2 linked regions of the Xenopus tropicalis genome follow. The protein of the gene in region 1 purifies or fractionates together with the protein of each later gene. This does not show direct contact. Links are inferred from orthologs where the notes say so. Each region holds a gene or a part of one and is shown in the gene's direction. Other genes may lie near its edges. The genes, in order: gls and sirt5.

Evidence for each region.
Region 2: the proteins of gls (region 1) and sirt5 purify together in Homo sapiens (affinity purification with western blotting; 3 studies listed by BioGRID and IntAct, with this or other methods). This does not show direct contact. The link is inferred for Xenopus tropicalis from reciprocal best matches to the Homo sapiens genes GLS and SIRT5.

The regions. Positions count from the first base shown.
Region 1 is NC_030685.2:45,590,363-45,594,872, forward strand, and holds the start of gls (glutaminase kidney isoform, mitochondrial), read left to right. Parts: upstream 1-1,444; 5' UTR 1,445-1,689; coding exon 1,690-1,985; intron 1,986-4,510. UniProt on the Homo sapiens protein: Catalyzes the first reaction in the primary pathway for the renal catabolism of glutamine. Plays a role in maintaining acid-base homeostasis. Regulates the levels of the neurotransmitter glutamate, the main excitatory neurotransmitter in the brain.
Region 2 is NC_030682.2:91,793,056-91,796,876, forward strand, and holds the end of sirt5 (NAD-dependent protein deacylase sirtuin-5, mitochondrial precursor), read left to right. Parts: intron 1-1,242; coding exon 1,243-1,366; intron 1,367-1,804; coding exon 1,805-1,920; intron 1,921-2,311; coding exon 2,312-2,387; 3' UTR 2,388-3,232; downstream 3,233-3,821. UniProt on the Homo sapiens protein: NAD-dependent lysine demalonylase, desuccinylase and deglutarylase that specifically removes malonyl, succinyl and glutaryl groups on target proteins.

The DNA.
Region 1 (4,510 bases):
CATCCCCACTGTCCAGCTTCTTACTTACCTCATCATAAAAAGCAATTAAATTGGTCTTCTCTCTCCTAAGAGGGAACCTGTTCAGCCTCACTTGAGCTCTCTAGCATGGTTGCCTGTTAAGCAAAGGATAGCTTACAAAATCCTTCTGCTAACATTCAAAGCCCTTCACTCCTCTGCTCCTCACTACATTTCTTCACTCTCCCTGCATGTTCCTGGTCATCTCCTTTGCTCCTCTTAGAGCCTCCATCTTTTTACACCATCCACACCCACTGCGCTCTCTCATCTTAAACCTTTCTATCTTGCTTCTCCTTATCTCTGGAACTCTATCTCTGAATCCCTCCATAGGGAACACTCACTAACTCTCTTTAAGAAAAAGCTCAGCTGTTACCTTCTGGAGCACTAAAACATTATTTTGCCTAGTCCTACGCTTAAAGAAAATGTAACACTAAATTTTATTAAGTAAAAAAGCTATTCTACCCTGCACCAATAACTGCGACGATCGATTGATCGAGCCTAGCCTGACTCCTTCCTATACAGAAAGAAGGCTAGGCTCGATCAATCGATCGTCGCATAGTGGATGCAGCTCCTTCCTTCGCCTTATCGCCGTAGTTCAATTGACAGGGAGCCAAGTTTTAGCAGGCATTTTCTATTAAAGCATTTAAAATACTAAGTGGTTTGCAGGATAGGGCAGTTATTGGTGCAGGGTAGAATATCTTTTTTACTTAAAAAATGTTAGTGCTACTTTTACTTTAAGGGCAAATGCCCATACCTGGTGCACTCTTACCTTCCAATTTGTGCCTGTATGTTACCCAACCACTTAGTCTGTAAGCTCTACTGGGCAGGGACCTTCTTCCTACTGTGTCCCATACCACATGGCACTTGTTCCCTGTGCATTTATATATGTTTATTGGATTTATAACACTTGTCCTCCCTGTGTGTAATTTTGTATTTTGTAAGATTGTACAGCATGCGTACCCTTGTGGCACTTTATAAAGTTATACATATGTACAAATCTGTCCCTTTGTGTGTCCTTGCAATAGGCACATGGGGTGTTTTGTTTGCCTTTGTGCACTAGGTGGAGAAAAGGTTAATCTACATGTTCTGAATGAATAGACAGGGGTGGCACCAGCAGACACAGACCCGATGTGCCAAAATCTGCTCTGCATTCCTGCTGACAGACTAGGCCTTGCCTCTCAAGGCATTCAGAACAGGAAGCGAAAAGGAACAGCTCCGCCCTCTGACTGCATAATACATACAGAGGAAACGCCTTAGAGCAATGTTTAAGATATAATCTAGTTAAAACTATATGGAACTAATTAGTATGATCTGATTATCTAATGACAGCTATTATTTCATAGCATATTCCAAAAAAATACCCAGGCCACCCTTTGTTCATACTTCTACTGTTTATTAGTACGTTTTACCAACCAAACTATAATCACGTCACGGTATGTTCATTTTAAGACATAATCCCAGAGCCGTGCAAAAACTCGCCTCTTTGCATAGAAACGTCATCGGACCGCCCATCAGGCCAACCAATGTATTTCTCCTTTATCATGACAGACATGACATGTAACCAATGAGTTTTCTTGCAAGGGTTACCCTCTCCTTAGCTCAAGTAAAAAGCGATCCGTATTAAATATCAGACATAGCGGCAACGTAGGGTGAGAGCAGACAAGCAAAGCAAACATGATACGTTTAGTGAGCAGTGTTATGCTTAGAGATTTACAGAACATTATGAGCTACAGGACTTCGGCCATCACATTAGTTTCTGTGTCTGTTCGTAGTCTTGCCACACCAGTTGGCTATCACAATGTTCGGAACAGAGGCGATGTAAGCTGCTGGAAGAGACGTTGGCTGACAGGCGCGTGTGTACTGCCGGCCCGGAGGTACAGTTCCAAATCTGAGGGTACGATGGAAAATGATAGCAGCAAACTAACTCCACCCGACGTGGAATCCGCTTCCAAACCTTCAAGTGATGAAAAGTGAGTAGTGTGAGTGTATAACGGCCGCCAACCCTGGAAGACGAACGCTCTTAACGTGCTATTGTGGTACAGGGCGTGCCGTGACGTAGTGGGGTAACTCGCTGTGAGGAATGGATGAGGGAGGTGTTTACCGGATCGCTGTCATTTTGTTGGTAGGCTTGGCGTACTGGGTACGGCCTTGTGAGAGGTTAGGGGAATTAAGAGCTGGCCGCGTAGTACAGTGTAGGCGCTTCTTATGCTGAATTCAGTGCCGAATTCTATTTATATATTCATCTTATTCAGTAAGATAATCTGTTTGCGAAAGCCATTTTTGTTACTTAAGTTGTTCTCTGTTTTTAGTCAAGGCGACGATATGGGTTATGCTCATTGTTAAAACTGAAGGAGCATAATCACCCACCTCAAGCCCGGAAAAGAAGGGCAAATCTATACCCATCTATTGACCCTACGAGTTAGGTAGTAGTTTTATCAAGTCACAAGGGAAAACGCTCAGTTTTTCCTATTAAGCATTGTGTGCACACGTTACTTAACTAGGCCACATTAAGTAGCCAGGGGGCATTTTTTCTTTACCCTTAAAGGAGAAGGAAAGGCTAGTAAAGAGCATATCTTCCGTTGTCTCAATAGTGCCCTTAAGGGCTCTGGCACACGGGGAGATTAGTCGCCCGCGACAAATCTCCCTGTTCGCGGGCAACTAATCTCCCTGAAATGCCATCCCACCGGCGAAAATGTAAATCGCCGGTGGGATGGCATACACGGCGGCGCGATTTCAGTGAAATCGTGGAAGTTTCCTCTCGAGGCAGATTTTCGGGGAGATTAGTCACCCGAGAACAGGGGGGTTTGTCGCGGGCAACTAATCTCCCCGTGTGCCAGAGCCCTTAGTCTCCCCATATTTCACCTGTTTCGAAGAAGAAAAAACGCTGAGCTGTGTAAAGAAAGTTCCCATAATGCCTCACTCCTGCACAGACATGCAGACCAAGTGAACATGCTCAGTAAGACTATGAGTCAGCTTCCTGCTGATTGGTTTAGATCCACATTTCTAAGGGGGGGGGGAGTGAGTTCTTAGCATTCTTGAGGGAGGGGGAGCAGGAAAGAGCAGAGAACAGAAAGCTGCGTGTCTCTGGCACAGGAATTACAGACACAACGAATCTTTTTTCAGAGAAGTCAGTGCAGCGTTTCTGTGAGTGCTTATGGCTGTATTTACATAGTCCTTTCTGATAAAGCTTACTTAGTTTTTACCTTTCTTTCTCCTTTAAGTACTGTTTGTATTCTCTGTTCAGCTTATTTCATTCTCTTAATCGTCTAATTCTATAACAAGGGTGTAAATATCTTTTATGTGACCAGGAACAGATTAATGCATAGGCTTACCTAGGTTATAGCCTAGTTGTCCAGTGTTATCAGGCACCCATTTAATTTTTTTTTCTATAATTATTTCTCTTTCTAAATATTTTCTTAATCTTTTAAAGGAGACATATAGGTTAAATGAAAATACTTGTAATCATGTAGGCAATTATCAATAATATATGCTAAAAAATGAATACTATCTGTAGAAATGGCCCTTTGTTGGAGCTCCATATTGATCCTTTCAGTTCCCTGTCCATGTTTCAAATGAGGGAGGGGTGTGTCCTAATGTTCCCTGCTAGAAGCACAGTAGGAGGGGAGTAGCCAATCTCATCCCTACAGTTACACAAACAAATACAGGCTTCAGTTCTCTATCAGGTCAGCCTAGCTGCTGATTGGTTCCTATCCTGCACTGCAGTGTGTGGATTACCACTGGCCCCCATGTACAACCTGGAAAAGGAGGCAGCAGGAAGTGGAACAGATGGGGGAATTTCTCAAAAACTTTTTGTAAGCACAGTCCTTCTATTTAAAGGATTATAATGCGCTGGTACATTTTTAAAGGGGAATGATTGTGAAAAATGTTTTTATAATATTCAAAATACAAACTTTTTGACAATAGCTTTTATAAATTTTGCACTGTTACAAAGTTATGGCTGATTATTGAAGCAGCCTCCCATCCGCCACCCTCCAGAATCTCTGGCTCCCTGGTCTGTGTCAGTGATCTGTGTGAGTGAGAAATGTGAGTGACAGAGTAGATTAAAAACTGATTTGCTGCAGCATGTCATGACTCCACACCCCTCAGTAGCAAACATGTGAAAAGGTAAAGTAAAGGAATGGAGCTGGGCTGGGTGCTGATGAAGCTGCATTTGTACATATAATCGTAAAGCAGCTTGCTTTGTATCGACATATGCACGGCATTTCAGGCTCATTTGGGTTTTGTGCTGCTCACCAGCAGTCTTAGATCAGCTGACAGTCACCCTCCTGCAATTTACAAATGCAGATACAAATCTTACTTCAATAATCAGATAACAGGTGTATCAAAAGAGTGTATAAAATAGACTTCCTCCATACACATCAATTGCAGCAATATTACAGACCACTGTGCAGTTAACTCTGTGTGTACAGGTACATAAATTCATGTATGTTGAATTCACAGACACCTTTCTGTGTCTGTCTGACAAGTCAGGCTT
Region 2 (3,821 bases), on another chromosome or scaffold:
TTCACACCTGTGCTTTAGAGGCTGTGGACAAGGTAGGTCCTGTATGTATTTTGATTGGTGGCAATACTCAAAAGCAGAAAAGATTCTGGAATTGGGTATAGGTTATTTATTGGGATTGTGAGGGCTGTTGGGGTTCTGTGTTGAAATTCCAGGGCCTATTTTAAATTCCAGTCCAGATCTGAATGTAACCATGCAATTCCCAGCAGAGACTTAACAAATCTCTGTTAAAGGAGACATATTTTGTAAATAACAAGAATGTGGCAGTGCATTCAACTTTTAAATATAGAAGGAATGTGCTGAAAAAAAGATGTTTCAGATAGGGATGCACCAAATCCAGGATTCAGTTTGGGATTCGGCCTCGTTCAACAGGATTCGGATTCAGCCAAATCAGCTTGGTCTGACGGAATTCTTAAAATAACATGACTTTTCATCACATAAAAAAGCTGCATACGTGGTTTTCTTCAACCCTCCTGTGGCCAGATCCTCCTGTGATTCAGATTTGGTTTGTTATTTGGCCGGATCTTTCATGAAGGATTCAAGATTCAGCAGGATTCCGAAATAGTATATTTGCTGCATCCCTAGTTTCAGGCTGATTTATTGGAAATTTCTGCAAAAACCCTTCTAGTCACGCCCATCTTTTCCACTTCTTGCTGCCTTCTTTCCCAGCTTGCGTAGGGGAGCCAGCAGCACTCAGCACCCTGCACTGTAGGGTAGGAACCATCAGCAGCTAGGCTGACCTGATAGGGAACTGAAGCTTGTCTTTGCTTGTGTCACTGTTGGGCTGTGATGGGCTATCTCCTCCAATTGTGAACATGCCCACCACTCATTTGAAACATGAACAGTATCAGATCTATAGCAAGCTTCATTTTTAAACTTAATAATATGGCGGGTTTACTCTAAACATTAGCATTAATAATTGCCTGCATCTACAGATTGCCAGTCCAGACCTGATCCCACCTCTTCCTTCGCTGCCCACATAGAACATTACTTAATGCACATGCACTGTTGAACTAAGAATGCTTATGTTTTTTCTGTTGCTTGGATCCATACTCAAATACATAAATATGCATGCATGCAAAGCTAATTTAATAGATGGATATTCAAGTACTTTATTTATTTCCAATAAAAACTATACAAAAAAGAAGGATCCCCTTTGAACAGGGATTGTTCTTAAAAGTTGTATAATCACTGTAATACAGTGACACTGTATAAATAAAAGATAATAGTAACTTATCTACCCAGATGTGATGAAAATGGCTGCAATGGTCTTCTGCGTCCTAATGTTGTTTGGTTTGGAGAGACCTTGGATTCTAATCTCCTCGGAGAAGTGGAAAAAGAACTTGAAATATGTGACCTCTGTGTGGTGGTATGTATTAAGCTATGCTAGGTAATAACATGACTGTACACATAAACCCTCTGTGTTTTTGATACGTTATACAAGGGGACTCATATTAAAACTAGAATATACCTTACAAATCCAGTAATTGATTCAAAATGAACTGTTTGTGCCTCCTTTTTACTCAATTGTCTGAAATTCTCTATTTTAAATGGAAAAATTAAATATAGGGGTGTCATGTAGGCCAAATTGCAATGACTGAATTTTGAGTCCCTTGAAACACCTGGTACTGTAGCAGTTTAATTAAGCTTTTTACTACTGTGCATCTAATTGGGTAAAAATATGAAATAATATACTGCAAAGTCAATAATAAATAGCATTTGCAGTAATAATCACTCTAACTGTATACACAGATAGCAACAGGGAAAAGAAAGCACTTTAGTTTATTATTTTCTGTGTATTATACAGGTTGGAACTTCATCAGTTGTGTATCCTGCAGCAATGTTTGCACCTCAGGTGGCTGCTAGAGGAGTGCCTGTAGCAGAATTTAACATGGAAAATACCCCAGCTACGACAAGCTTTACGTAAGAGAAATCTGGTCACATGCTTTAAATCTTCCACCCCAGTTTTTTTTTATTGCATTGAAAGAAAATATTATTCTAAGCAACATTCCAATACACATTGATTAAATATTTCCAGTGGCTTTCAAGTACGCTGTAAATGTAGTTGGTATTTGTTCATTTCTTTGCATTCCTATACGGACAGTTCTGGCTTTTTTAACCTCTAATTCTTCTTGCTTGAAATGTTTTTTTTTATGAATGTTGGGATGGTAAAGCTCCCTATTATTGGGGCTATATGATTGCCTGTTGGCTTCAGTGTGTTTAATTACTGCACAGTAGAAAGTAGAATTACATTTTCTTTCACCATGCAAAGCGCTTTATAACTTAATTCTAACTTTTTTTTTTTTCTTCATAGGTTTCATTTTCAGGGGCCCTGTGGAACAACTCTGCCACCGGCAATAGCACGCCACGAGACAGAACTGATTTCTTAAATTTAACACCCTATGCAGAGGAGCAGCTGTTCCTAAGACTTTACTGTATATATGGTGTATGAACAAAAGTCTTTACTATAGGAAAAAAAAGCGAGAATGGACCAGCAGTCTTGCAAGCAATCACTTCAAAGTGCTTTTGAGAAGGCTAATATTTGTCATGTAATAATCCTTGTGGTTGCTGAGAATTTTCTCCACTTGCACTATGGAAGATAATTTGCACCATACATGAAATGATTGTGCGTTTAAATATGGAATAATGTTTAAACCAGTAAACTTGCTGGTTGTTATTCTTCTTTATTATATCTGTTACATGAATTATTTTCTGTATATTTGCATGATTGGTTATTATTCTGTTTGACCAAAAAAAACAAGCAAAATAAAAATGCCCGCTGGGCATTTTAATACTAAGAACAAGACACAGGTCACACTATTAGGCCTTACATAATTGCATTTTTTAGTGCTATATAGTGAGGAAACTGCATTTACTAAAAGAAATCTTAGATTTTCTTTTTCATCCCAATCAGAAATGTCTCCAGTACAAAAAAAAACTTTCTTCCAGTTTTGCTGATTAATGCTCAAAATGCAATTTCTGTAATGTAATAAATATGAAAACTGTTGTGTTGTGTGTGCAGATGATGTATCGTTAAACCAGTGTTGCAGGCAGTTTAGATCTGGGTAGATGTTTTGCACAGCTTTTTTATTATGGAAGTGTGGGACCAATCACATTACATATAATGCTGAAGGGAGAGTGTAGCAGATTGTTCTGATTGACTGTGGAAAGATCGCTTCCTAATTTATCTCTATGAAGTCAAAATAAATCTGGATGCAAACTGATTTTTATGTAACCTCAGGTCTAATTTTACTTTGGAACCTGTTTCATTTTAAATCATGATACAATCACTCTGTGTGAAAATCGTATGCAATATCATGATACCACATGGAGTTCTATAAAATGGATTGCAGTTCTCACTCTGTTGTACGAAAGGGCCAGACATGATTATGCATCTTTGACATTACAAATTGCATGTCTTTCCAAATCATAGGAATACTGCAATCAAAATAAAACTTGGTGTTGGGAAAAAAATTAGGCCATATTGCTTAATCAATGGGTCTGAGATCAGAGTGTCCTAGTATGAAAGCCTGCATCATTATACTCTTGTAAAAATAGTTACTGGCCATACACAGAGGGATAAAAGCTGCTGTCTTGCCCCCTTCAGTGCAAATCAGTAGCTTATGGCCCCCTGTATATGGCCTTTGGAAGGTCCTGCCTTATTGAGATCTGGCTGAAAATTGGGCAAGTACCATATCAGCTTGTAGCTACGGTCTTCCACATTGAGCCTCTGGGGCAAAACATTCAATTTATCCTAATTTGGCCCACAGTTACTAACCTTACATCATGTATGGCTAATTTAGAGAGAGATGTATGTTTGTATA